Linked DNA regions of Pelodiscus sinensis. The protein of the gene in region 1 interacts with the protein of each later gene in a pairwise test. Links are inferred from orthologs where the notes say so. Each region holds a gene or a part of one and is shown in the gene's direction. Other genes may lie near its edges. The genes, in order: FXR2, TBC1D22B, FTH1 and RALYL.

What was found.
Region 2: the proteins of FXR2 (region 1) and TBC1D22B interact in binary tests that used the Homo sapiens proteins (3 or more experiments, as listed by UniProt). The link is inferred for Pelodiscus sinensis from reciprocal best matches to the Homo sapiens genes FXR2 and TBC1D22B.
Region 3: the proteins of FXR2 (region 1) and FTH1 interact in binary tests that used the Homo sapiens proteins (3 or more experiments, as listed by UniProt). The link is inferred for Pelodiscus sinensis from reciprocal best matches to the Homo sapiens genes FXR2 and FTH1.
Region 4: the proteins of FXR2 (region 1) and RALYL interact in a two-hybrid assay, tested with the Homo sapiens proteins (2 studies listed by BioGRID and IntAct). The link is inferred for Pelodiscus sinensis from reciprocal best matches to the Homo sapiens genes FXR2 and RALYL.

Annotation. Positions count from the first base shown.
Region 1 is NC_134734.1:9,203,908-9,211,859, forward strand, and holds the start of FXR2 (RNA-binding protein FXR2), read left to right. Parts: upstream 1-4,950; 5' UTR 4,951-5,211; intron 5,212-7,952. Other genes in the region: SLC12A9 (solute carrier family 12 member 9), read right to left, coding at 36-170, 787-1,012. UniProt on the Homo sapiens protein: mRNA-binding protein that acts as a regulator of mRNAs translation and/or stability, and which is required for adult hippocampal neurogenesis. Specifically binds to AU-rich elements (AREs) in the 3'-UTR of target mRNAs.
Region 2 is NC_134737.1:16,850,291-16,857,343, reverse strand, and holds the start of TBC1D22B (TBC1 domain family member 22B), read left to right. Parts: upstream 1-4,042; 5' UTR 4,043-4,261; coding exon 4,262-4,317; intron 4,318-7,053. UniProt on the Homo sapiens protein: May act as a GTPase-activating protein for Rab family protein(s).
Region 3 is NC_134714.1:124,702,411-124,709,554, forward strand, and holds the start of FTH1 (ferritin heavy chain), read left to right. Parts: upstream 1-4,124; 5' UTR 4,125-4,145; coding exon 4,146-4,171; intron 4,172-4,733; coding exon 4,734-4,812; intron 4,813-5,172; exon of another isoform or gene 5,173-5,326; coding exon of another isoform or gene 5,327-5,347; coding exon 5,348-5,437; intron 5,438-7,144. UniProt on the Homo sapiens protein: Stores iron in a soluble, non-toxic, readily available form. Important for iron homeostasis. Has ferroxidase activity. Iron is taken up in the ferrous form and deposited as ferric hydroxides after oxidation. Also plays a role in delivery of iron to cells.
Region 4 is NC_134712.1:47,014,454-47,021,531, reverse strand, and holds the start of RALYL (RNA-binding Raly-like protein), read left to right. Parts: upstream 1-4,066; 5' UTR 4,067-4,203; intron 4,204-4,379; exon of another isoform or gene 4,380-4,682; intron 4,683-5,545; exon of another isoform or gene 5,546-5,632; intron 5,633-7,078.

The DNA of each region.
Region 1 (7,952 bases):
GCACACCATGTACCAGCCCGCTGGCGGAAGGATACAATATGCCCCACCCCCTTGGATGGCACCATTAGTGCAGATGGCACAGACAGACAGGACGGTCAGTAAAATGATGACATAGGCTACCACCAGCATAAGCAGCGACTGCAGGAACCCAGCATGTCCCACCACGAAACCTAAGAGATGACAGATAGGGAGCTGCAGGTAAGAAGGGAGGGGCATTGGCAGAACTGGACGGAGGGCAAGCCCAGAATTCTGCCCTCTATATAGCTTCCAGGATTGGGCCCATCCACATGGCCTTAGGGCCCACATCCCGGTTAAGCACGAACCTCTCCTGTTTAATGGTGCTCACCTTTAGTAAGCCACTAATTACAATAAGGAATTGGCTTTCAGTGCCCATAAGGTACAAGTATGCAGGCACCAGTGATCTAGGGAATTCCATGCCTTATGATGTCGATGGAATGTATGCACAACCAACCCGGATGAATCAGTTGCTAATTGTGACAAGAAGCTGAACAGCCAGCTGGGTTGGAGGCAGCAAGGGGTAAGTATGGGCCAAGCCCCCATTAGCCCACCACATGATTTTGGCCGGAAATCAAGCATGCATCAGTGGGGATGGGGACGGAGGTTTCCTGCTATTCTTAAGGGCAGCACACAATGTGGGCAGGGGATGGAGGGAGAGAATCCTATGGGAGGCAGAGAAGTTTCCTTTGGGGGGGGGGGGGAGTTGAGGAGGGAGAAGAGGGCTTTTGCCAATAACCATGCACTAATCAGCAGGGTAGAGTCACTCACCCACACGCATGAAGACAACGATGCTGAACATGGACAACACTGTGGGCACCACGACGCCAAAGAAAGTGGAGAGCCGTCGGGCCGGGTCAGGCTGTGGGGGGCCCAGGGGGCCTATGCCCCCACCCACGAGGGGTGCCTCCTCTTGGGCCCGGCTGCTTGGCATCTCCCCCTCGTCCACCACGCTGAAGAGCCGGTAGCTCAACAGAGGGGAGCTCTCAGTGGACATGGCAGGGGGGCCTGGTCACCCTGGGAGAGGGGAAGGAGGCATTATTGGCAAAACCCCTCTTCTCCCTAGTTCTCCTCCCCAGCTCCCATGCCCCTCCTCAGGCACCCCTGCAATCCCTCACCCCAAAATCTAGCTAGATCATCTCCCCTTTGGCCTGAAATTCTACAAACACCAGTTACATGGTCTAGTCTGCCATACTGCACAGGGCTGGGAATGCCAGCCTTAAAATTGCAGAGATTAAAAGGAAAAGACTTCAGTCCTGCTGCAATGCACAAGCATGCTCTGAATCCCACTGTAGATCTGCCTTTGAAATAAGGAGAGAAAATTGGGTTTGTACCATACAAACCTCCCCAGGTGCTTTATTTAACAGGTAGAAAAATTTATCTGTGTTTTGATGCACAAAGCAGATGGCTGGGAAACTTCAAAAGACAGCTAAGAAAGTGGGTTTGAACTCTTAAAAAATACCAGGCTAGATTCTTATGATTAAATGGAGACAGGAAATGCACACTCTTGTTTAAAAGCTCTCTCTGAAGCAACTTAAAAACTGGGGTATGAACCTTTAAAGTCAGCCCGGTTTGGGAGCAATCAACGAGGAGAAAAATTAATCCAAGTCAGATGCAGGAAAGAGCAAACCAAATTCAGGAGACACCCAATGGGCGTGGATCCTCCAAATTCAGCCCCCCACCCCCAGAGATGGGGAGGACACCCCTGTTCCTGGTTTCTCTTCTAGGGTAAATGGGTGGGGGTGGGGGCAAACTTCTGGAGGGCGGAAGCTCACCGGCTGTAGGCTGTGCGTCAGGCTGCCCCCGAGGACTCAGGGAGGAGACAAGGAAGAAGGAGCTTATGCTGGGAGAGGATCATTTAAGCCGGCGCGTTCCTAGGAGGGCGGGCCTTAGCCCCCAGGTGGAAGGTAGCTGAATGGAGGAGATTAAATGGATTTCCTGGCCACCAGACCCACCCCCTTCACAGCGCTGGGGAGAGAGGAACCCAGGAGTCCTGGCTCCCAGCCCCCGCTCCAACTCACCAGCCCCCACTCCTCTCCATAGGCCAGAAAGAGAAACAGGAGTCCTGAACCGCCAGCTCCCACTCTTCTCCCAGAGCTGGGAAGAGAACCCAGGCGTCCTGGCTCCCAGCCCGGAGATGCACAAACCTTTAGTTGGGGATGCTCTGGGGTGGGGTCGATGGGGAGGGGGGGGAGGTGGCCGGGTCCCTCCCCTAGCTCCATGCAGTGCTCTCCTGAACCGGCGGCTGGGTCACAGGCTGCTCATGTGACGAGCCCCCCCCCTTCCACTCCCGCCCCCGGGTGTGACTTAATGGGCGTCTGTGAGCTCAGATCCTGCCCCCCCTCCACAGTGTCCTCCTCCAGCTCTTCCTCCTCCCTTCCATCCCTGCATTCGTCCTCATATACATCCATCCTTCTCCTCCTCTCTCCTTCCTTCTTCCCATCTCTGCCTCTCTCTCTCTCACACACACACAGAGCTCTTTCTTCTCCTGTCCTGCTTCCTTCCTCCCATCCCCACATCCAGCCTGTGCCCCCCCATGCACACTCTCTGCTATCACCCCTGTACACACACATTTTCTCTGTACACACACACACACACACGCTTTTCCAGTTTACTGGTACAGAGCATTGGGTACATAACAAACATACGGTACACACCACTGTGTAAACACACACACAGACACTTTCCTGGTACACATGCACAGTGCTGTGTAAATAAACATACACACTTTCTTGGTACACAAACACACACTTGTGTGTTACACACATTACTGTGTACATGCATACATGCTCAGTACCCACACACAGTACTGTGTACATACACGCTTTCTTGCTACACACAGAGTACTATATATACACACACTTGCCCGGTACACATGCACTGTGCTGTGCACACATACACACAATACACACAGACACAGGGGCTGGTTTCTGACCCAGCCTGTGGTCCTGTGGGGAGGGATATTTGTGGCACCCAGGAGGCCATACAGTGACCCTGATAGTGGGACCCTGACCCGACCTCAGCACCTCAGATCAATTTGACTGACTGTGGCTGATGGGTCGAGGCAACGATACCCAGTCACCCCTCCCCAGGCCTGCTGGTGCACCTCAGTCCTGCCCCACTGTACCCCACCAACATTCCTGCTCCTGTGTATGTAGCCATGTCATTTACCATCCTTCTGCCCTGGAAAGCTCAGCCCCATGTGGCAGGTTGTGGTGTTGAGCTGAGCAGTATCTGAACATGGTGCTGGGAAAGATCCAGGCTCCAGACCTCACAATCCCAAATCTCTCCTGAGCCAGCCTAGCCCCAAGCTGCTTAGTGCCAGAGGCTGGGACCCTGTGGGGCCTCCTGTGCTGGCCACTGTTGTAAGGCAGGATGCTGGGCTAGAGAACCTTATTGGAAATCCTGGGAAGCGGGCAAGCCTAAAGGGACCCTTGTGGTCATAGGGCTGGATAGAGAGAGCAGTGGTGAGGGGAACAGATGGATGGATAGAGGGAAGTATATGGGGTTAGATGGGTAGACATGGGGATAGGTAGATTTCTCAGTATTCAAATATCTTCCGAAAATCAAAATTTTCCCACTGAGACCAAATCCTCTTTGCTTGTTTTTGCCTGCCTTTTCTGGCCTGACTGTACTTGTGAGCCTGCAGGGGGCACTCCTGTCATGTTTCCAAGCTATTCTCTCACTCCTAGATCCCCAGGCCAGCAGGGATCAATAGCACCACCTACTGCAGAGCTCTATCCTAGTGTCTCCTCACGATGCCTGGACACCCACCAGGGTGGATCCCCAGTGTGCTCCGTGCTGTACAGTGCAGGCTGGAGACGTTCCCCTCAGTACTTTCTACAGCTGGTCGTTCAGAAAAACAGTCCTTGATTTCAAAATGGTCAGTGAATGAGAATCCGGATAGTGCAGTTATGGTCACTCACCATGAGACCGTTTTCGGTTCCCTGTAATTTTGCCCAAATGTAATTATTTGGGGTGACATTTTTCAGACCTTCAGCTGAATTTTATGAAGCACATTTCACCTAACAAGGATCAGTCAGAATCATAGAGTCCGTCGTCCCACACCCACCAAGTAAGTGCTGCTAAGGCGTCCTCATTGGAACCATAGAGACTGGTCTCTCACACCTCCCACATGCAGCCAGAACGCCCCAATGGAACCATAGAATCCACCCCCTCGCACCTGATGCACTCAGCATATGGAATCATTCAGGCCTTGGATGACCGGGGCGGGGCGCTCAGGGATTGTGGGACATGGGGGTGGTACTGGGAGATTGTGGGATACCAGGGAAGCCCACAGAGCCCTAGAGGACTGCGGGATGAGGGTCTAAGGAGACTGGGAAGTTGGGGGGCTCGGAGGCCCCTGGGGATTATGGAATACGGAGGGGCTAGAGGCCCAGGGAACTGTGGGATATTTTCCCCTTTCCCACCATGTTCCTAGGCCGTAGAATGCCGGGGGCAGGGCCTGGGGCCCCAGCTGCCCCATTTGATTGATCTCGCAGTGCAGCCAATTCGGAGCGCGGAAGCCGCGCGGTTGGGGGCGGGTCCCGGCCCGTGATTGGGTACGGGCCAAACGCTGGGCGTTTCTTGGTTTGGGAGCGGGGCGGGGCCAGGGTTGGTTGCCGGTGTAGGTGGGAAAGAAGCGGGGGCATGCTGATTGGTCAGCGGGAGCAGGGAGGCCCACCGATTGGGTGTCCTGGCAGAGGGGCGGGGCGGGCGCGCGTCCTTGGCGAACCCGACGTCTTCTCGTTGGGAGGTGGGGCTTGAGCACGCGCCTAGCTTAGCCACGCTGGTCGCGATTGGTTGGTAGTAGAGTTGCGTTCTTCCATTGGCCAGCGGACCTGGGCTGGCGCTCGGCGATTGGTGGAGCGGCGCGCGCGCGTGCCCCGCCCCTCCCGGCCGCGCCTGCGCGGTGTACGCGCGCGAAGGGGGAGGGGCCGCGCGCGCGGTGTGAGGCGGTAGCGGCGGCGGCGGGTCGGTCCCTGCCTCACGGTGGCGGAGCCGGAGCGGGAGCGGGAGCGGGCCGCGGCGCCTCCCATCCCCCCCCGGGCCAGACCCTGCGGCGCTGCCTCCTCCCCCCCCCGCGGCGCCGGGCGGCTCCCGGGGCCTGGGCCCCTCCCCGGCGGGGCGGCGGTGGCCGGGCCCATGGAGGGGCTGCCCGTGGAGCTTCGCGGCTCCAACGGCGCCTTCTACAAGGTCAGCGCGCGGGGTTGAGTGGAGGGTTGAGTGTCTGGCGGGAGTACGAGACTGGTGGGCAGGCCTCGGTGTGGGGAGGGGGTTGCACAAGGATGGGGGCCGTTGGGGGAGATGCTACTGGCAAATGAGGGAGAGGAGGTATATGAATGGGTGGGGGAGACTGTAAAGGGTTTTGGGGAGGGTGTCTGGTGAGGGTGTAAGATTGGAGAGGGTGGGGAAGGCCCCGGGTGGGAAGAGGTCATACAGGTGGGGGGGTCTTTGGGGGGAGTGTTTTGTGGGAGGGGGGAGGGTGGCAGGGCGAGGCAGGCCCCAGGGAGAGGAAGGTCAGAAAGGCGTGTGGAGGGCCGTTAGAGGGAGGGGATAGTGGAGAGTGGGGGAAAGAGGGAAGGCAGGTCATAGAGGAGCTGGTGGTTGGAATGGGAGGCGGGGGAGGGTGTCTAGTGAGGGGGGCAGGGGTATTCCTGTGTGGCGGGAGGGGAGATCACAGAGGATTGGGTGGCAGTGGAGTGTGTAGGGAGGATGTATGATGGGGTGAATGGCGAGGAGGTAGTGGGGTGTTTGGGAGTGGATGTGTGATGGGGTGAAGGAAGGTGGGGAGGTAAGACAAGGCATGGGTAAGTGAATGAATTGTTGAGGGCCGGTTAGGGAAGTTAATTTTGGGTATGATGAGGAGATGGTGGGAAAGTAACTGGGGGAACAGTGGCGTGCAAGCCACGTGGTGGGAGAGGCTTAGGGGTTTTTAGATGGAACAGGGAATTGGGAAGGTTTAGAGAAAGGGGTGGACTACTGGGGTCCTGGGGTGGGGCTGGAGGTAAGATGTGGGGTGACTGGAGGATAACTGTTGGGTGAGGGGCATTATGGGAGAAGAGGCTGGGTTTGCGATCACCTGAAAGAGTAACTGACAGCAGGGAGAATGGAAACTACAGCTGTCAATATGGAGACCATAGTGAGAAGCAGGTAAGTGGATGGGGCTTAAGAGTAAGATTTGAGGGGGGAATAAAATTGGAAGGATCTGGGCAAAAGTGGGAAGTCTAGGGGTGTAAGTAACTGAGGGGGTCAGGTGGCTGCGGGCTCTGAAGCAAAGGGCCTTGAGGTGTTAATAGCAGCTTGGAGAGAGAGGGGGAAGGACTATGTGGGTAAACATGTGGATGGTGTGTGTCTGTGTTGTGGGGAGGAGTGGGAGGGAATAGGGAAGGTGTTGGAGCATGACTGAAGGACTTAGGACCCTGCATGGCTCAGTAAGGACCTATGGGATGGGCACACAGAACTCTCCCCTTCCTTAGCATTGAGGTTTTCCTCTCATAGGGATCCCATGCAGTTTTTGTTACTGAGTCACTGGGGATTGGAGGTCCTCCTAATGGTGGAGAGTCACTGAGCTAAATGGGCATCCTTAAGGGCCCTGATTCAGGTGGGCGTCAAAACATGGAGAGAATGCAGCATGGCTGTGGGAACCCCAGTTTAGCCTGTGGTGCACTGTGCCTTCCTCCCCCTTGTCTCTAAGTTCTACATAAACCCGTTTGTCCCCACACACACACTCCAATTTTTTCCTCCTTTTTCTCTGGACCTCTTAGAAGTTTTGCTTCTTCATTGTAGTTTTTGCATCGGACTCTCCTTTTCCATATCCACTTTCCCATGTTGCCTCTCTTCTAGAACTACAAGCACAATTATTTCACAGATCCCTTCATTTTCCCACAGGAACTCCTCCTCAGTGCTCCTTCTCACATTGTCTCTCAAGCCCAGCCCTGCCTCCTAAATCCAGCTATTGCAGGGCTCAGAGCTCCCTTCCTTAACAAAAATCTGGGAGGGTTCAAATCGTGCCACTGGCCAGTCAGGTTACAGTGATCCTAACCTTTATTGTGTCCAAGGAAAAGAAAGGCTGCAGTACTCTCCGAATCAGCCAGATGTTTGTTTCAGCTCTTCTCTGCCAGAACTCCACAGGCAGCTGGATGTGCCTTGTATGGGACTGAAGTCACTTGAATAGCAGAACCCATCCCTCCAATTTCTAATGCCTAATCAAGTTGATGCTGTGACAAGTGCTACATATTAGTATCTGATGCAAGATCCCTTAATGTGATCAGATTGCATCCCACTCTATTCTTTGTGAATGGGCCAAGGATTTGAGTTCTCTTGTTTCATGGGGAGAGGAATAGCGTGATTTGTAGCCCCTTCTACAAATCTGAGGTCATATTCTTCTTAGACTGACTTGAAATCAGTGGAAATTTCTGTATGTTCACTTATGCTATGGTGGGGCCAGTTGTTCAGCATTCATAATGTACACTATGTGTGCACCATCCCTGTCTAAACAGAGCAGGGGAGGCAGAACAACCTCGGAAGTGAAAGGATTTGCTCAACTCACACACCAAGCTGGTCAGGGCTTCTGGGAATAGTCTCTGAGTTCCCTCTGTTGTCCTTTCTGCTAGATCTTGCTTTCTCTCAAGTGTAGTTTTTAGGCCAGAGCAGGATGGGCAGTCAATATTTCCTAGCTTCTTTCTGAGCCCTAGAGCCATTGTGGTGGTTTCATGTGATTGCCTCCATAATCCCTGATGGCTGAAAATACCTGTGAGGGTGCTGCCTTAAGGAAGCAGATTTTGTTCTTGAATGGCTTTCTCTTACTGCCACAGAACAAGGTTGGATAAAAGTTTGGCAAGCTGCGTTATTTTCATCTTTGAAGACTGACCCTATCAAAACTCATAAAGCTTGGTTATTCTCCAAAAATGTCTTTGTGACCTGCTAAACCAAAG
Region 2 (7,053 bases), on another chromosome or scaffold:
GGGAACCGATTCTTATCCCCTCTCTTTCACTCTTGTTCAGAATCGAAAGTTGGCCTTTGTCTTTGGCGCGCTTCCAGCCAGAGTCTCCTGCTAGCACCTGGGGAGAAGAAAAGAGACACCCTGTAAGAAGCATAATGTGCAGTTATAAAAGTGGCCTGGCTTCTTATCAAGGGTAGACTCGTGCTGCCCTCTGGCGTTGGCATCTCCCATTTGGGCATTGAAACGCCACCAGGTTTTCATGGGCTCAGTGCTTGGCTCTTCTGAAAAATCTGACCCCAGTGAGGGCTCCTGACTGCTAGAAAATCTGGTCATAAGAATCCTGGTCTAACACCTCCTCCCCTCCCTTGAATGTCAAAGGGAAACTGGGCATAACCAAGTCACACTCAGGCAGAGCGGGTAAACGATGCAAGCAAATCAACCTGCTAGCTGTTCATCCTGACTTTATGCTCACTTAGTCCTGGGGTAATTGCCTGCACATGATGCAGGGCAATGGCAAATCAGACCCATTCCCTTCTCAAATTGCTGCTCAACTAATAACATTTTGCCAATCTAGAGCACTTTCTGAGGTCCTCGGAGCACTTTGGAGAGTACTGAAGGAACCCTCTGCTCTTCTGAGGGCATGCGTCATGAGCCTCACTTTACACATGGGGAAACTGAGGCACGAAGCAGGGTGGTGATTTGTTGACAGTCAGAAGGGCAGGTTGACACTTGAGTTGTTCACCTTGAATAAATGAATTGCTAATTAACTCAAGGCAGTTACTGTGTGTCTGCACAGACTTGCTGGGATGCTCCCCAAATGCCTGTTCCAGAATTGCTAACGTTTCTTTACCTCAGAGTTTGTCTGTAGCCCGTAACAATAGTTTAGGACAGTGCTACACAGACCTTGATGACCTAAGAGCCAAATTAGCAATCAACAGTACCCAAAAGAGCCACAGGAATATGAATGACAGGGAAATATTTAGCTTATAAAACTTTTTAATTAATTTGCTGTTAGACTATATAATTTATAATTATACTTAGTAATTTAGTGCAATCTGATAACAATTCATTAATAACACAGTAAAACACAGCACCGTGATTGGTTAATCATTAAATCACGTAGTCTTTTAACATCCTGTGCTGCACAGAGCCCCAGGAGATGCATTGAAGAGCCAGTCTCAGGCCTGGTCCACCCTGGGAGTGCTCAGACTGGCTCTCTGCAAAAGCCCTAGCTACCTCAACTGAGTCCAAAGAGCAAACTTGGGGGCAGGCCAGTGCACAGAGAAGCCAGGAGTCCCCGCATCCAGCTCTTTGTGTTAGTGGCCAAACCACCCCCTTTCATTTATTTACAAAACAAGGTAGGAGAAATAAACCTGGTCCAGATTTTCAAAAGTGGCCACCGTGGGAGACTTTCTGAGGATCTGAGCTCCCGTGAGGGGACTGAGTCATTAAACCTCGTTTGACAGGGTCTGTCTCCAAAGGAGCTCAGCTTCCATTTAGACGCCCAAAGGCAGTGGCCATGGTTCTGAAAGGGAGCAGTGAATTGCTGAGCACATCTGTAGCTTTGTCCATCTCCTTAGAATTTTGGCACCAGTTTGGGTGCTGAGATCTTGAAATGTTGATGAATAATGCAGCTAGGCCAGGGGCAGAGTTAAGGGTACCTGTGAAACAGTCACTTTGGCATGCCCTGACATTGGGTGCCTTGCCTTGCAATGTTTATCTGACACAGAAATTGTCATGCAATATTTAAGGCGTGTGGAGGTGTGCGTGCGTGCATGTGTGTGTTCCAAAGGCCTTAGAAAAGAAAGATGGTCTGGTGGCCAGGGCACTAGTCTAGAAATTGGCCTCTTATGAGGTTCCAGTTAGCAGGCCTGGCTGGCAATTGCTGTATCCCTGCTGGAGGCAGCCAGAGCCATGTAAGAACTGCCAGGGTAAAGTCAGCAGCCCAGCAAGCTGGTTAGTATAAGCACCAGAGTTATTGACTTGAGTCCCACGACTTGAACTCGAGTCCGACTTAAGTCGCCGAGGTGACTCGACTTGAGACTTGACTCAGGTTCATTGTTTGTGACTTGAGACTTGCTAATTTTGTTAACTCGACTTGGTGAAAAAATTGTCCGAAAATGCCGACATCAACGGCTTGTACAAAAGTGACTTGACATTTTTTAAATTAAGACTTGAGACTCGACTTGGGACTTGACTCAAAAGTGACTTTAGGGACACGAGACTCGACTAGAGACTTGAACTGTAGTGACGTGAGACTCGACTTGGACTTGACAATGACACCTTGAAGACAACACTGATAAGCGCTGTACGTCTGTACCTACTGACAGGTTTTATGCTGCTGCCCTTTGCTGTGATGTCTGAGAACCTTCTAACTAAAAATGATAGGGTGACCCTATCATCCCTAGTAATCATCCCAGATAAACTATCTGGCACTTTGTCCTTTTCGGAGTTAAAATCTCTGCTTGGCAGAGCGGGCCAGGTTCGGGGGGCAGTGGTTAGATTGTGTTTGTTGATTTGGTTTGATAGTTACTGATCTGGGACATCTGCAATGGGAAGAAAGTCTGTATATTCTGGACCTTGTTGTTATAAACTTGAAAATTAGGTTTTATTTGGTACTGGGTCTGCATGCCACAATTGCAGCTTGCTTAGTTTCCTGTTTGTGCTGTCTTGGTCATTTGGTTGCCAAGACAAAATTGTTATTAAACATGAATTGTTTTTAAACATATAAGAAATAATTACAACAAATGCTCCTGAAATAGACTGATTTTTACATTAGTTGTTTTTTAATTTTTTTCAGTTACAGACTAACAAGGCAACCTCTCTGTGATTTTTATATTTTTATTCTTCAAATAATCCAAGAGCTTCTAGGGAGCTAAGCAACCCCCACTGAAAGTTGCCCCTTCACCACTGAAATCTGAAATGGCATTACTACTTTCTGTGAGTTCCTTGTTAATAAGGATTATAATTACTTATTGTTTGTATCCAGTAGCATGGTTCAATAAGACAATGGAAAAGTTACCAATTTAGAGAAATTGTATAACATTTCAGTAAGGAGAGAGAAATATCTGTAGATCTAATTGTCATGCATACCCATCTCTCTTACCTATGTTTCAATTTGCCCATGGGTGGTATGTACTGTGTTCATCACCAGGCTAACTAAGTGCCTTATAAGTGTTATAATTTTCCTTGTGTGATTCCATCCCACTTGCATGAGCAAAATAAGATTGTTTTAAAAGTGTGAGCAAATCAAGATGGATTTCCACCCTAATTCCAAGAGGCACAGGTTCAGATTGGGACTGGGAGCTCTGTTTTGATGCAGTCCAGGATTAGACCCTAAACTACTCAGGTAGAAGTCTTTGAAACATCTAAAATAGAATGAAGTTGCAGGACTTTGTGATGTGAATAGAAAAAGTGGTTTTTTCACACTCAGCCTGAAGTACCAGAAATGTAACTTACAGCCAAACAAGCTGTCACTGGAGGGAGCAGGGAGGTTTGAGGACTCCCAATGGAAAGTTTGGGGAAATGACATTTAACTGAAAAGGGAGATGAGATGGAAGCTCCAACTCTAGGGGAGCCCAGCCACTGCACAACCCCTCTCCCTCTTTCAGTGCAAAGTGTTTAACCCCACACGACCCCTCCTCCCCAGTGCAGCTGGTTTAACCCTCTCCACCTGTCCTTCCACAGTGAAGTGGTTTAACCCATTCCCAAGCAATGCAGACCCCCTCCACCCCGCCTCCCTGGGGCACATGGTTTAACCCTCTCCTCCCCAATGCAGACGGTGTAACTCCCTCCAAGCGCAAATGGCTTAATCCCCTCTGTCCCTCCTCCCCAGGGCAGAGGAATTGTCCAATTCCCCCCTCCTCTCCCAAGGGGGGTGATTCGTCCCCTTCCAAGCACTGGAGATGGTTTAACCTAGCCACCTCTTCTCAGAGGAGATGGTTCGCTCCACTCCACCCCTGGACATGGTTTATTCCTTGAGTGCACAGATGGTCTCTCCCGCCTCTCGAGGCCCTGCCCCTCTGCCCGGTCCTGGCCTCCCTCGCTTCCCGACCCTGCAGGATCCCGGCTCTGGATTGGCTGAGCTGGAGGCCGCGGAGCAAGGCAGCCAATGGCCGGGCTTCGCCCTCCCGGATCCAAGATGGCGGCGCCGGAGCCTGGCAGCGGGGCCTCCGGAGGGAGGAGGTGAAGCGGCCTCGGCCCGCGGCTCCGGGACCTGTCGCCGCTCCCCCCTTCCGGAGCCGGCCGGGGCCCGGCCCCAGCCCCAGCCCCAGCCCCAGCCATGGCCGCCGAGAGCAGCAAGCAGTTCTGGAAGCGGAGCGCCAAGCTGCCGGGCAGGTGCGTGCGGCCCTCGCCCCCACCCCCCCCGCCAGATCTCCGCCCCCCCCGGCCCGGTCAGACTCCCCCGCCTGACCCCTCCCCCCCCCGGCCCGGTCAGACTCCCCCGCCTGACCCCTCCCCCCCCCCCGGCCCGGTCAGACTCCCCCGCCTGACCCCTCCCCCCCCCCGGCCCGGTCAGACTCCCCCGCCTGACCCCTCCCCCCCCCCCGGCCCGGTCAGACTCCCCCGCCTGACCCCTCCCCCCCCCGGCCCGGTCAGACTCCCCCGCCTGACCCCTCCCCCCCCCCCGGCCCGGTCAGACTCCCCCGCCTGACCCCTCCCCCCCCCCCGGCCCGGTCAGACTCCCCCGCCTGACCCCTCCCCCCCCCGGCCCGGTCAGACTCCCCCGCCTGACCCCTCCCCCCCCCGGCCCGGTCAGACTCCCCCGCCTGACCCCTCCCCCCCCCGGCCCGGTCAGACTCCCCCGCCTGACCCCTCCCCGGCCCGGTCGCCCCCCCCCCCCGGCCCGGTCATACACCCCCCCGACTCACCCTCCCCGGCCCGGTCATCCCCCTCCCTCTGCGGCCCACTCCCCCTCCTCGCCTGCCTGACCCCCCGCTCCTCCCCCGGCCTGCTCTGCTCATCTCCCCTCCCCCCACCTGACCCCTGGCCTCCCCTCTGGCCTGGTCACCCCCCCCCGATTCCCCCCCGCCGGCCCAGTCACTCCCCTCCCCCACCTGACCCCCAGCCCGGTCACATGCCCCCCCGGCCTACCTGGTCACCCCCACCTGCCTCAGTCACAGCCCCTCCTGACCCCCCTCCCCCATCTCCCTTTTATATTCCTCCTGATTGATTCCGGACTAGTCCATTAACTGATCATTTCCAGCTGGGCCTGAGAGGAGCCGACCTGCCTGGGAATGGGATTCACTTCTCCTATCCATTTGTGGGTACTTGTAATATGTATCTCTGCATAGCTGCAACCTTCACCAGGGAGCCAGTGACAAAAGGGGGGCTGTGCTGGAGCCTGTTAACTAACCTTCTGTGCACCTGCATCCCCCAAGTCTCCATTCAGTGGGGGATGACAAGCTGGAGCGGGAACAGTTTGGTTTGGCTTTTTTTTGGGGGGGGGGGGGTGAGGAAGCAGTGAGTCCTTTCCCCTTCCCTCTGCATCCTGAAGTGGGGAGGGGGCAATGTAGAGAGGAGCTTGCTGGGTGTCTAAAGGCCTACTTCAGAGCTAAGAGCACAAGGTGCCCCCCTCGTCCTCAAGGCCAGGCACGGCCCTGGACAGCAGAGCCTCCCAACAGAACAGGTGTCCTTGTATCCCATGTGAGATTGTAATTCCCTGCATTCCTCTTAACCCTGCTTCCCAGGAAGTGTGGGAGTCTGGGGGGGCACCTTCCCCACCTCACTTCCTCTGGCCAGGGAGCAGCAAGGGAGGCTTACTGGGTGGGAGGGACTGCACCAGCCATTGCCTTGAAATAGATTAATGACAGCAGGGGGCAGGAAACTTGCTCTGGGGAGAGGCTCCCCACTTGTGGCTTTGAGAGGAAGGTTCCCAAAGAAAAATTCAAAGCAAATCCCCAGGAGAAAGCGAGGGAATAGGGAGGTTTTACCCACCTCCCTGTGAGGAGTATTACAAGGGTAGGTTAAAGTCTGAGCGCTTCATATGGGCATCACCGTTTCCACGCTGCCATTAATCTCATCTTGACCCTGCAGTCCCCTCCTGGTGTGCACGTGCAGAGCCTTTGAAATGCTTAACTGGCTTTAAATCCTGCTTGGCCAGTTAATCTTCTCTTTCTAATGCACTCTCACTTTCACTCTCCCCCTGCTCAAACTGAGGTTGCTGGGACAGTCCAGACCTGGGAGAGTGGTGTGATGCTGCAGACATCACCCGCAGCTCCACCTTTTTTTCTGACAAACGAATGCCACTCTGCATATGCACGTGTCTTGGAGTATAATCTTACTATCGGGTACATGTCTTATCTGTAGCCCACATCCTGCCCGTGCAGAGGGTGCTCTCTAAGATAGCAAGTTTTTTCCATCTCGAACAACTTTGAGCTCCGCTTTTGAGAGCTTAACCAGGCAAACCCGTTTGGGGAAATAAGTAGGAGCCAGCCAGCCCGGAACTCAAACTAGGGCACTGGATAAACTGTTCTCTCCCCCAAAAGGCCAGCATGCTAATAGTTTGTCAGATCTAGCTGTGTGTGGTGGTACTGGCTCTGTTCCTAAATCCCTGCTATAATCACCCACGCTTGGAAGCTGTCAGCAGAGAGTGGAGGAGGGAAACAGGAGATGCTAGGTTTATGGCCTCGGAGGTTAAGATTACTTAAGAACTGCTTATCCAACCTTTCTGGGATCTTTTCCTGCATATTTGCTGGCTCTTTCCCAAGTCTGTGCTGATCACCCTGGAAGGAGCTGAAGATAATGTCAAAGTTTGGATAAGCACTTGGGCTTTCTCCATTCACCGCATCTCTTTGTGATCAGTTTCAGTTGTTCTCTAGCTTGGTGTTCAGCTTGGTGTGCCACCAAGAGGTTCTCTAGGGCTGTCACGGCTGTTCCCCACTCTGACAGGATAAATGCAGAAGTTGGGGGCCCACAAGAGTACTCCAAAACCTTGCCTCTACAAGCTCTGGTACAAAAACTTCCCTCCAAAATCCTAATACCCAGATTTTGGGGGACCCACTGCCACCATCAAGTGCTTTGAACCCCAAAATAAAAACACAAATGGGTGGATACCTGGGGTACCCCAAGCTC
Region 3 (7,144 bases), on another chromosome or scaffold:
GGAGACGGGGAGCGCCTCGGCTGTCCCGCTGCTGGCGTCCTCTGAGGCTTTGCTCCCCGTCTCCCTGGTCTGCTGGTCTCAGTGTGTCTCAGTCCGCTGCCCGCATCTCCCTGGTCTGCTGGGGGGGGGGGGGCGCAGCTAGTGCGCACCCCCCCCAGCAGACCAGGCTTTTCTCCGGACGCCTGAGGTAGAGCAGCTGGGGCACTGCTGGTTGGTCCCGCAGCGCCGCTCTGGGCGCTACTGGACCAACCCGGCAGCACCCCAGCTGCTCCGCCCCAGGCGTCCTGATTCAGCCTCTGCTGGTCAGTTTCAGCAGCGGGTGAATCAGGACGCCTGGGGCAGAGCAGCTGTGGTGCTGCTGGGTTGGTCCAGTAGCGCCGAGGAGCAGCGCTACTGGACCAACCCAGCAGCACCCCAGCTGCTCTGCCCCAGGCGTCCCCAAGTCAGCCGCTGCTGAAACTGACCAGCGCTGACTACAGGATCAGTTTCAGCAGCAGCTGACTTGGGGATGCCTGGGGTTCGTAAGTTGAATCTGTATGTAAGTCGGAACTGGCGTCCAGATTCAGCCTGTTGAAACTGATCAGCGGCTGATTCCAGGAAGCCCGGGGCAGAGTAACTCTGCCTCAGGCTTCCTGTAGTCAGCCACTGGTCAGTTTCAGCAGCGGCTGAATCTGGATGCCAGTTCCGACTTACTTACAGATTCAACTTAAGAACAAACCTACAGTCCCTATCTTGTACGTAGCCCGGGGACTGCCTGTAATTATAAAATTGTTATATTTGAATTTTGGATGTATGAAGGACATACTATTATAAAAAGCCCACAGCATGAGGTTGGAAATGCTACACTTACTTCACTGTGTCCATCTGGGTATAAAGAAGTGTAGGAGGAAGAGTCCAAGATGTGCCCAATCCTATCAGTAGGCGTAAAAGGTGTCATTAAAGCTAAGGTTTACAACTGTGAAACCTACAATCAATTAAAAAAAACCAGAATATAAAAGAACCAATGAAACCACATGACAACCTTGATCACCTTTAGGCTAAGGCTGGTACAGAACTATCTTGAGTTAAATGGAAAAGATTATTTTTTATTGCGCCTATGTTTTTTAACTGAGCTGTTGCACAACATTTCAGGTAGCAATGTTATACCACATTGTAAATCACAGTTTGTTCACTAAAAGATTGTAGAAAAGTAAATAGCACTGGCCCCCAATTCACAGGTAATTCATTTTGGCAATTCTTTGTTATATTAAGTCATGCACAGTCAAAAGGATTAAAAGGCAAGTCAACACAAAAAGGAAAGAACTTGATTCAGGAGAACTAGCACTTTGTAGGTTCAATATTCATATTTCTAGAATGTGGCAATGCGTTGCACAATTATTGTTTTAGGGTCACCAGTTTAGAGACTCATGAGCAAAAGAAGAAAAACGTTAGTGTGAACATCTGGCAAGCTTCTTGAGCCAAATATAATAAAAAACCTGAACTAGTCACAATGAAAGCAATATGTCAGGCAAGTAAAAGCAGGTAAAATACTGAGACAAGAATGTCACAGAGTGAGTTATTTTATAAGTGAAGGAAAACGTAAGTTTTCAAGCAACAAGAGGCTAGCAACCTGCTATAGTAATTGATCCACACTAAGGTCATATATGATAACCACATAATCTGATGATCAGACCTACAAGAAGACAGAAGACATCTAAACAAAACCAAGAAGGATATTTGCTCTTTCCTTAGCACATCCAGAATGCCTTTGACTGTATTTCTGTTCTGAAAATGTAACACACACGCACACCCAATGAAAAGAAGTAGTCATTATAAGCTCTATATTGTGGATCCATCTTAATGACTGAAGAAGGTCATTACAACAGGAACTGTTTTGAGAACAAGAAGTGAACATTTGATCAGAAAAACTGCTGAGTTTCAGTCATGGTGATTTTATCATGGGTCTCCTGGAATCATGAAATTATTTGAGAATCTTAGCTTTCATTTTAAGGAAATGGAAGTTTCTAGGCTGTGTGTGTATGACCACAGGGCATCCTCAAGGCTCAGAAACCAGAAAATAAACAAAGAAAGCCCAAGATTTATTGGTTATTTAAAAAAAACCTCTTGATTTGAACATGTGAGTTTGGCAATACTAAATAAGACACAAAATAGTCCTCTCAGTTGTCAGGCTAGGTTTACGCTAGACCTGGCAGCTTGGCTTAAGGTACGCAACTCCAGCTACGTAGAATATTTAGCTGGAGTTGGCTTATCTTAAGCTGAGCTTGGCAGCGTCCACACAGCAGGAGGCTGATGGAAGCAAACGCTCCAGTTGGCTTCCCATATTCGTCGCGACTGTGAGGAGTACAGGCGCTGGCTGGAGCTGCCTTTAGCGTTAGATTTATGGTTCTATACTAGAGCCTCTGAATTGAATGCCAGAACATTGATCTCCGGTGCGGTGAGTGTAGACATGCCTTCAGAGAGCTCGGATTGTCTGCCCTGACCTTCATTCATGACTTTTCAATTACTATTTTAATAACTGGCTGGTTTAGTTTGTGGTTCTTATTTTAAACAACATTATGTTTTTCTGTGCATTTAATTTAAATAAGGAAAACTCATATGACAAAGCCATTAACTTTTCTCACTCTGACCCAGGTCCAGTGACTTGAAATAAAATTTAGTTTTTTAAACTGAACTCTTGGGTGTCATACCATTATTACATCATTGGTGAGCTTTACCAATGTGACCTCTTTCTCCTGTAAATTATTAACATAAAATCATGCATCCTAATTTGGATGGCTTCAGGGCCCCAACAAAAGAATTACCTTCACTTTGAGGAGTAGAAATTGTTTACATCTCAATTAATTCCCTATTGTTTGATTCCTTTGTAAGACCCACTAGGATTTTGATTCAAACTTTATCATTATTATTTTCCGTAAGAGCCTTTTTTCGAAGATTGTCAGAAGTTTTTTTAAAACCCCAGTAATCCTCCAATCAGTCATTTGTAAATAGTCTTCTGTACTGATATAGTTCAGACTCATAGTTTGAAATCTGCCCTTTAAAGTGCATTGTCATTGTGTTACGTCTCTAAAATCACTGTCCGGATATCAAATCTAAATGAGCAACTGTCATTGTCAATGAATCATTTACATTCATTTCCTGTACAACTAAAGCCATCGTCAAAACAAATTGACAGAAAAACAATGGTTATGTATGGGATCAAGAAATTACTTCTCCCCAAAATACGATATAAGTGTATATCGTAGTTAAACAGCCTATTATTGTTATTCTAGAAGAATATGCATCTACGTTTCAACATACTCAGGGCCAGATTCTGTGCTGTGTTTACTACTAGATGACTCTGCTAATTTCACTCTGGTTGTACAAATGTAGATAGGGAGTAATTTGGCTTCAAGACCATTATATGGACTATAGTAAATGACTCTGGCCATTCTGGCTCCTTGGGGTTTATAACTGAGCAGATTCAGTCCTGAAAAAGATGTAATCAGATTAACATGCATTTGTCTCACACCAGGAAACAAAAGTAATGGCTGGGAAATGATACATTAAATCTCAGATTAAAGTATGAAAAGGTTTTCTTCTTTATATTTTAAACCAGAGGTAAAAGCAATGGTATCAACGCATGGCTGTAAAGTATAAACTTAAAAAACAACAAATAGTCTGGTAGCACTTGATAGACTAACAAAACATGTAGATGGTATCATGAGCTTTTGTGGGCACAGCCCACTTCTTCAGATGACCAGAGTTTTGAGGTTAGGATGTCCAGATCCAAAATAAATAGAGGAGAAGGGGTAAGGAAAAAAAATGGAAGGGTGTAGGAAACAAGAAGCAGAGGGTATATAAATATCAAAGGGAAAACCAAACAGGCAAAACTGGTAATCTATAAGCACCTAAAAATTGGATAATTAAAAAAAGCAGATAAGGCTCATAGGATGGCAATTAGATAGGAAGGGTACTAACATAAGAATCTACACAGATAAAGAGCTGTTCTCACCTTGGTTGTTTTTTTGTTGATAGTGATCCTTGTAGAGGAGGAGTTATAGAAATGCAAAGTATTATTAATTATTATTATACAGCGGTGTGGGTGTGGATGGTCCAATATATACATAGGTGGCCCATGTCATCTTCCCAAGAAAGCGACATTCTCCATGGGACGGTCTGTCATTGAGAGAAAGTACGTGAGTATGTGCGCCAGCAGCGCCACTCTTCCAGAGAAGAAGGAATCCCAACAGATAGTCCCCTTAAACTAAAGGGCTGTGTCTAGACTGGCAAGAAAAACTTGCCAGGTGTCTACACTGGCCGCTTGAATTTCCACAAGAACACTGACTTATTGTCTAAAATCAGTGCTTCTTGCGGAAATACTATGCTGCTCCCGTTCGGGCAAAAGTCCCTTTTGCGCAAAGCTTTTGCGCAAAAGGGCCAGTGTAGACTGCTCAGATTTGTTTTGCGCAAAAAAGCCCCAATCGTGAAAATGGCGATCGGGGCTTTTTTGTGCAAAAGCGCATCTAGATTGGCAACGGACGCTTTTCCGCAAAAAGTGCTTTTGCGGAAAAGCGTCCGTGCCAATCTAGACGCTCTTTTCCGCAAACGCTTTTAACGGAAAACTTTTCCGTTAAAAGCATTTGCGGAAAATCATGCCAGTCTAGACGTAGCCAAAGAGTTTGGGCTGGGAGGGGAAGGCCAGAGCTGGTTCTGCACTAAGGCTGATGTTGTGTGTGTATGTCTGTGTTCTGCAGGTACACGAAGGGCCTGGAGATGCAGAGGTGTGCCAAGGACCAGGATGTCGAGCAGACAGATGAGGAAGTGGCAGCACTGGTTAGCTGGGGTGCAAAGGCTACTGAAGGGATGGGGCCCACTGTCCTTGCTGGGCGGGGGAGAGGGTTGGGAGAAACACACCAATGCACCAAGAAAAAACAAGGAACGGTCTGGTAGCACTTTATAGACTAACAAAGCAGGTAGCTGGGATCATGAGCTGTCGTGGGCACAGCCAGCAGCGGAATCTGCTGAGTCACGCTGAGCCAATAGCTTCCAGCCGCTGAGCGCGGGGCAAATCCCTTCAGCCGCTCTCCTGTCCCCCGCCCCGCTCGCTCCCTCCCTCCTGTTCTCTGCGCGCGCACCTTGGGCGGGGCCTCCTGACGCGCGGCGACGTGCATATATAAGGCGAGCCGGAGGCGTTCGCCCGTTCAGATCGCGTCACCCCCAGACAGACCCGAGCCCGGAGGTTCCTGCTTCAACAGTGTTTGGACGGAACCGCTGCCGCTCGGACCCCTCCTCTCCGCCTCCTCTCGTCTCCTATAGTAGTAACAGCAGCAACAGCAGCGCCGCCGCCATGTCTTCTTCTCCCTCCCAGGTGCGCCAGAACTACCACCAGGACTGCGAGGCGGCCGTCAACCGCCAGATCAACCTGGAGCTCTACGCCTCCTACGCGTACCTCAGCATGGTACGTGCCAACCGCCCGCGGCCCGCGCGGAGGGGTCGCGCGGGGGCCTACGTGCCGCGCGACAGGGCGGGGTGGGCTGGGCCTGTGATCCCTCGGGAGGGAGGGGGACGAGCCTCTCCGGGGGGGGGGGGGGGGGCGGCGTTGTCGTTGCCGGGCCCGCGCGCGCCTCCTTTGTTGCCGCGGTGGGGGAGGGGTACCCGCTGGGGGGCTCGGCCCAGGCCGCGCGCTGCGGCTCGGGGGAGGGGCCTCCTGGTGGCGCCGCGCCGGGCTCGGCCCCCCGTGTTTATCTGCGCGGCGCAGCTCTCGCACCTGGGCCTCCTGAGGGCTTCTTATCGGCTCCCGCCCTCCCTCTGCTGCGGGGGGGGGCGCCTCTGCCGAGCTGCTCTTGTGCCTGTCGCCTGTGGCGGGGCTTCTCCCTGCTGGCGCGCTGCAGGGCTAAGCCCGCCAGACGGTGGGAGCGCAGCCCCCGAGCGTGCGGGTAACTCCTCCGAGCTGCTCCTTGAGGGAAAGGGGCCGCTTCAAACTGGCTTGATGGTGGGTGGGGGGGTTTGGAGCACGGCTGTGGCGCTGTATGAATTGCTCTGGCAGCCTTTAACAGCTGGCTAATCCAGGGATCACGCTTCAGACTTGCTTGGCATTTGAAATAAAAAAAGAGCAGGCTTTTGTACTTTCCTCTGTACACACCAGACCCTAGCTCCCAAATGCGCACCTTTGCTTTTAATCTCTCCAGTAGCTTGTAAAATTAACATTGCTAGACCAGTACGTCGAGACTCTCTTGAAGGATCCCTCTTCAACTCTGAAGTTGATCAGAATCTTGTAGACTTTCAAATGGTCCCCCTCTCCCCCCATGTATTAATTTCTTAACTGTACCTCAGTATCTTTTTTGAGGTCAACAGAACATGCTTTAAAAAACTTTCAGAGAAGAAAGTACTAGCTGGTGTAAAGAGGTTAAAATGTGTGTAATTGTGTAAATGCCAAGCATTTCAGTGGTTTCATGGTTACATAAGGGGCAGCAGCTAGCTCCCTGGCTAGTACAGATAGGGATGTTAAGGACTAGTTGACTATGGATAAGCAAATGCTTATCAGATAGTTAAGTAGTGGTCCTCCCCTTCCCCCCCCCCTCCCCTGTCAGGAAGAAGGGGTGTTGCAGCACTGCTGACCCTGGGGGCTCCATATGGTGTTGCCCTCTTGAAAGGCTGCAGTGGCATTGCTGCCCTATCAACTAATCAAACAGTGAATTACATGCTACTTAACATCCTTAGTACTAACTGCCACCCATCCCTGCAGACACAGGGCAGCAGCCAACTCCCTGGGAGAGGGAGGGAGGAGCCCATGCATGCTAAGATCTGGCTTTTAAGCTGGTTCGGAGGCAGAAGTGCAGGGAGGCAACTGCCTCCTTTTATACTGCGACACACTTGCATCCCGTATCTGGTGCAGTCCAGTGCTCAAAACAGGATTCATTTTAGCCCCCAAAAATGATCAAAATGGCAGTTCATCACTTGATTTCTCCAAAAGTGAGACCATAACTTGCTACAAACACCTCTTGTTAAAAAGGGGTTTAGCAAAGAACAAATGTGCTTCAGCCCCAACTACGTTCAGAAAGTTTTTGGGAGCTTTAAACTATTAATGGAGCACAAGATACTGATCGGTTCTGTATGGCTTGTTTCTGATGGCAGCAAAGTATGGTGCTCAGAAGGGAGACAGTTA
Region 4 (7,078 bases), on another chromosome or scaffold:
TACGACAAATCAGGAAAGAGATCTTGGAGTTATCGTGGACAGTTCTCTGAAAACTTCCACACAGAGTGCAGCGGTTGTCAAAAAGGCAAATAGGAATTATTAGGAAAGGGATAGAAAATAAGACCCAGAATATCTTACTGCCCCTGTATAAAACTATGGTACGCCCACATCTTGAATACTGTGTACAGATGTGGTCTCCTCACCTCAAAAAAGATATTTTGGCCTTGGAAAGGGTTAAGAAAAGGGCAACTAAAATGATTAGGGGTTTGGAACGGGTCCCATATGAGGAGAGGTTAAAGCGACTGGAACTTTTCAGTTTAGAAAAGAGGAGACTGAGGGGGGATATGATAGAGGTCTATAAAATCATGAGTGGTATGGAGAGGGCTGATAAAGAAACGTTATTTATTAGTTCCCATAATAGAAGAACTAGAGGACACCAAATGAAATTAATGGGTAGCAGGTTTAAAACTAATAAAAGAAAGTTCTTCTTCACACAGCGTGTAGTCAACCTGTGGAACTCCTTGCCAGAGGAGGCTGTGATGGCTAGGACTATAATAGAGTTTAAAGAGAAGCTGGATAAATTCATGGAAGTTAGGTCCATAAAAGGCTATTAGCCAGGGGATAAAATGGTGTCCTTGGCCTCTGTTTGTCAGAGGCTGGAGAGGGATGGCAGGAGACAAATCGCTTGATCATTGTCTTCGGTCCACCCTCTCTGGGGCACCTGGTGCTGGCCACTGTCGGTAGACAGGATACTGGGCTAGATGGACCTTTGGTCTGACCCAGTACGGCCGTTCTTATGTAGGAGTTCTTGAAGAGACTCACAGGCAGATAGACAGACATACACACATTTCTAAAATCTATTGTAAGATATATATTTTCCGACTAAAATGCCATTTATGTTACACATAACATTTATATGTTATATGAGGTTTATATGTTACATTTAACCAGTTAACCAGGATCCTGCAGGCGGGGGGCCCAGCTGGTCTGGGTGGCCCCTTGCCATGCCACCGGCTGCTTGGGCGAGGCCTGCCATACCATGCCATGGTTGGAGAGCTGCTCCAGCCTGGCCAGGCCTATCTTGTCATGCTGGGCTGACCACTCCTCAGCCATGGTATGGCATGGTGGGCTCAGCTGGATTAAAATGACCGCTGCCCATGACAAGGCTGCATCCGCCCCCCAGGCTGCATCAGGTGGGGGTCTGCTCCAACCCGGGTGGGCTGTCTGTTAACTGGTTAGCCCTTTACATCCCTACTTCTTACCTCTGTGATTTCCACTCCATAAATCAGACAAAGTGGTTTTGACCCACGAAATATTATGCCCAAATAAATCTTTAAGATGCCACAGGACTCCACATTTTTACAGATAAAAACTAGCATGACTTCTCCTCTGAGGCCTATCCAAAGAGTGAAATTTTGGAAGAGCCTTCTAAGGGAAACTGTGGGGAAAACAAAACAAAACAAAACAAAACAAAAAAACAAAAAAAATTGTTCCAAGACAGAACTTGACAAGTTTATGGAGGGGATGGTTGATGATGATGTTAATCATTGTACTACCCACAAGGACACATGACCCATTCATGACTGCTATTAGTAAATATCTCTAAAAGACAGAAAGAAGACAATAGACAAGGAGGGCTGCATCTGGCTGGTGGGTCTTGCCCAAATGTGGAGGATTTACTCAGGCCTGGGCAAAATACAGCCTGTGGCATGGATCTGGCCCACCAATCCACCAGATCTGACCCGCTGAGGGAGCAGGGAGCCCCAGGCAGGCTCCTCTGCTTGCCCTGCAGCCCCGTGTGCCATTTACAAATGAGGCTTCAGGGCTCCATTTCTGTTTTGAAACAGGAAGGGAAGGGGGAAGTTTCAGGAGCTGCCATTGGCTGGTTTCTGGCTAGAAACCAGCCAATGGGAGCTGTTTGTTAGTATAACAGGCAGCCAAGAAGAACTATGCTCTCTCTTCTCGGCTCAGTTATTCAATGAAGCACATGGCCAGGGAAGCAGGCTGGCTGGCTGGGAAATGTTTTAAGCTCGGCAGGCAGGCTAGTTTGGCAGCTGACAGGCAAGTCTCTTGGCCACACCCTGTTTCTAGCACCCCAGCACTTTCCTGCCCCAACCCTCTGACTCCCACTCAACATACCCAAACCCTCTGTCCCCCTCTTACACCCAAACCCTCTCCAGATCTGGCACCCCAATCTTCTTTCCCAGATCACATTACCCTCCTACTCTAGGTCACATCCCCAAGCCCTGCACTTCAGTTGCTTGCCCTAGGTTACAACTGCCTCCTTCACTCAAACTCCCTCCCAGACTCTAATCTCCTCCTGCATCCCAATCAATTACCCCAAGCTCCCTTCTGTACCCTACCTCCATCCCAGATTCCACATCTCCTCCATTAACATCATGGAAGAGTGCGGCCCTTGACCACTTTCCAAAATCTTGGAGTGGCCCCCTGTCAAAAATTATTGCCCACCCCTAAGCTAATTGATTTGGGGTTGAGAAGGATTGTTTTCCCTAAGTCAGATTGACAGAAACCTGAGGGGAGGGAAGTTCTCCTTCCTCTGCAGCATGGAACACAGATCACTTGCTGGTTTGAACTAAAATAAATGGTGGGTAACTTAAGAGTCTTTAAATCTAGGGTCTTGTGTTCACTGGCATGTTTTGTCATTCAAAACTGCCTTTTAGCAACAAAACATTAAGCGTGTTTACACTGCAGTGCTACGTTTGTTGGGGAAAACATCTAGCTTTGGCAACAAAAAACTTCCAGTCCTGCCAGAGATTTTTGTCTTTTCCTCTCCTTTTATTTTCGACAAAGAGCTAGTGTGGACTCTGTTGTTTGCTTTTTTTCCCCAGAGAACTGACTTCCCTCTGTCACACTGCCTGCTTCCATGGCTGTGGTTTGTGAGCTCTGCTACCCTGCAGGCATGCACCCCTCATCTTTCAAAGCCCTGAGAAATATCCGACAGTTGAATGAGCTGCTTTGTTTGGGGAAAAAACAAAGAGCAAATCATTGTAATGCTTCTGTTCTGTCCCGCTAGAAACACAGCAGCAGGCAGATTGCTACTGCAGGGGGCAGACTGGAGAGACTGCTGTGCTGCTTTGACATTCCTCTGCATGGAGAATTCACAGAGCTGCTCTCAGCATCTGAGAATGTTGTGGGAGAACTAAGGAGCACAGGTATCAGCTCTGCCTTCCCACACACTGCATTGTGGGATGCGGGTCCATGGAGGTACTAGCAATATGGCCATGGAATGTCAACAATGGGAAGCAGAAAAACCAGTTGGACCATTTTTCACTTTTGGCACTTTTGCATGTTGACCACACTTTTGTTGCCAATCTTTCCCAGAGTAGATATAGCCTAGATTTGAAGACTTCCCCCACAGTGTATTCCTGGTTTGAATGCACATAGCTTTGTGACTAGATGATCATGATGGCCCCTTCTGAAGTAAACAAAAAACCTACACAACTCTCACACAGTCTTAAGTATGAGTGACAGCCTGGGATAGTTCTTGCTTACTTTATAGTCTGGAACACCATGCTTTAGTCACTCTTGAATAAAACCTCAGGAGAGCGAGGGGCACAGGAAGGGATCCTTGATTATAGGGAATGCCCTTTAGCTAACACAGGATCCCGTTAAACATGAGCAAGGATGCGGAACAACAGGCTCACCTACCATCCAGCTGAAAGAGTTAACCTGCCGAGGAACTAGCCGTCTGCGTGATGATGCATTGCTGCTTCCCTGCCTAGCACAGGCTGCCTGCAAAGCGCTCTCCCAGAACAGCTCTTCTGGAGTCACTTGTTTGACTTGCCTCTGCCAATAACTTTGTTATTAAAAACAAGAGCCCCCCTCAGCACCAAGGCAAACACTGAGCAGAGGCCAGGAAAGCAAAAACAAAGTAGAGAAATAATGAACGCGTCTCTCGGCACTTTCTAATTTCTGTCCAGCTGCAAACGTGAACATGTGAGCACGCTCTGGACAAGCATCGCTTGGGGCTTGCACTTGGCCGGAGCCGAGCCATCCCCAGCAGAAAGTACAGCTACCGACCGCTCAGCCTCTCTGCCTCCGTGCAGTGGCGAGCGGCGCTGGAGACGCGCTGACTTGCACTGACACTTGCCACTCAGTCCGGCCCTCGGCAACCTAGAAAGAAGGGGAGATTTATGGAGCAGGTAATTTGGGAGCACCGGAAGCTGCAGCGATAACTTTGAGGTGAGGAGGCAGCAAGTTGTAGCTCCGACATACACACACAGGCAGCTGCTCCCGCTCGCACGGTCTCCGCTTTCAACTCCCCTCCGCCTCGCTCGCCCGCGCCCCTGACTTAGCCGCGCGGGTGTGTGTGTGTGGGTGGGTGTGTGTGCGGCGCGTGGCGCTGGGGCGAGAGGCACCTGCTTGGCTCGCGCTGCTGCCGCCGCGCAAGCAGCCGAGGCGCCAGCTCCTGCCGCTAGCTGCGGGCTCCAGCCTCCCGCTCGCTTCTGCCGCCGCCACCGCCGTGGGAGTGAATTGGGCTGCTCCAGCGGGGCGAACCCCTTCCCCCTGCCTGCGAGTCAGCCTGGCTGCGAATCACGTGTCCGCTGCCTGAGGCAGAGACTAGAGAGGAGGGGGGGGGGGGAAGCGCCTCATTCCTTCTTCCACCGCCATACTGTATTTTATAGTAACTCATTTTTATTCCTCTCTTTTACTCCCGCTCGGTGAGTACCTTTCCGCTGACATTCTTGTCCTCTTTTTTTGTCCTGTTTTTTTCTTCCTTTTTTATTTTTCTTCTTTTTTTCTTCCTCTTTGATTATTGTTTCCAGGGATTTGATCCTTTTTCTGATGCCAAGTTTTTTGTTTTTGTTTTTGTTTTTCTTCTTCTTCTTAGCATGCGATGGTTACTAGACTGTGAGCAAAAGGTGCTGCTGGGGCTGGGAGTCACTGGGAATTGAGCAATGCAATAACATTTAAGACTTACCAGTCCAGCAAAAATATAGCTATATATACAATTATTAGCGCTAGCTCTAGATATGCAACTGGTTTTGTTATGGCCCGAGAAAAAGAAAGCAATGTGAAATATTGTGCGTTTTTTTAAAGATGAGGAGAAAAGGCATGTTTCTAACTCTTTTGCAGAGAATTTTTCCAAATGTTGTTTTGATGTTTTTTCATTTTTATTTTTATTTTTTTTGTATATAGATGTGAATTGCAAATGCATTTTACAGCAGTGTTTACAAAGAGTTTGTGATCTTGCAATACTGGTGCAGGCCACTGAGCAAGATGTTAATTTTATTATTTTTGGTTGTTTCCTTTTTTTGACACTCGGTGCAATCAGCAGTTTTTGTTCTTTTTTGCTTTGATGCCCGTTTATAACGTGAAACTTTTCTTGCAGCTTGTTAGAGTTGATCATTTTTTAATACTTTTTCCTCCTTAAAAAAGCCAAACAAACAAAAAAGCCAAAGCAATGATCGTTACTTTTGCACATTTGACTTTTTTATTCTTTTACCGAGATAATTTTATTATGATGATTATGATGATAGATATGCACATATATACAAATAAATACATTTTAAAATGATGGCAGTGGAAGGTTTTCCTGGAGAATGAAGTGCGGGTTGGTTTCCTTGTCAACGGAAGATGAAGTGAACAACTGAACATCTCCCCAGTGCAGGTACTTCATCTCCTTGTAGGCGTTTCCACTCTTTTGTAAATTACGTTACGAGAATAATAATAATTATTAATAATAATTATGTAAAATTCTCGATCCCTCGCTAAATATGTGTTCTCAATTAAATGAAGACGAAACTAAATTTCTGCCTCTTGATTACTCGAATGTGTCCAAAATGCTGCACTAATTGAGCCCAGGTCGGTTAGTCTGTGTGTGATAGTTTATGTACTATCCTAGACATGCGGGTACCCAGCTGACAAACCTGAATTGAACCGGGAGATGCAAGTTATGAGCAGGGAGCGTCTAGGGCTTAAAAATAACTGGACTGGATTGTGAGGAAGAAAAGAGAGAGAAATAGAGAGAGAAAGAGACTCGAGTTTTAAAAAATGCCTATTATAAAATCATAGGTGGCTGTGAGAGATACAGCAGCAGCAGTCCGTCAGAGAAACTGGCTCACTGCCATATGAGTCTGACACATATTCCAAATCCATAACGATAACAATCCTCTTATTTCTAATTTATGCTCCCCTTATTAACAAGGACTAATCAAGGCAGAAAGCAGGTCATTTCTGCCAGGTTTACCTCATTGGGGTAGTGATTAATTATAAGCAGATACATATTTTGAGGTGTTTCCTTTTGTTTTGGTGATTATTAATGCTACTGTCTGACAGGGCATAGGAATCAGCTACTTTTTCTCTGACTGTCGCTGAAAGTTCAAGATTAGGGAAGAAACTGTTACTTTGCTTTAATAGGACTTAGCTGCTTAACAAGCTCCTAAACTGTTCTGGATTTAGAGAAGTTGATATACTAAATATGATATTGAAAGCGTTTTCCATCTCAGTTTTTTCCAGAAAGAGAGAGCTGAGTATTTTATCAAAATTGAGGTGCTGAATGCTTGAATCTGCAGTCTTATGCGTGATACACTTTATTGTGATGATGCTGTTGAGTGTATTCTCTATGAATAGATTTCAGGGAAACTTGGTCAGAAAAATTTCCTCAGCATTTAAGCATTGAAAACAAAGCATCTTTTACGTAATACTTTTTTGTAGATGTAAAAAGAAATATTCTGTCTATTTTTCATTTATAAGACTAAAATGCTTTGGAAGTTAGAAACTTTGTATACATATTTACTTTCCTGGAACTTGCAAATACTTTGCTCTTTAAACTGATTCTCCCCCCCCTCGTCCCTGCAATTTAGTTATATTGTGTAGAAAAGTGTCTATTCTACATGCCTGCTGGGCTTTTACAACAACACAGAATTAATTTGCTATTGAGTTAATAATCCATATTTCAAAAAATCACTATATTTACATGATAGATTATAATACTGTTTTTGGAGTAGTTACAATCTACTAAGAGTCAATAACTCACATTTTAAGAAGTCCCAGACTTCTGCCTTGATTTAGGCTTGTAAGGATTAGATTTGTATCAGTAACTATTGATAAATGT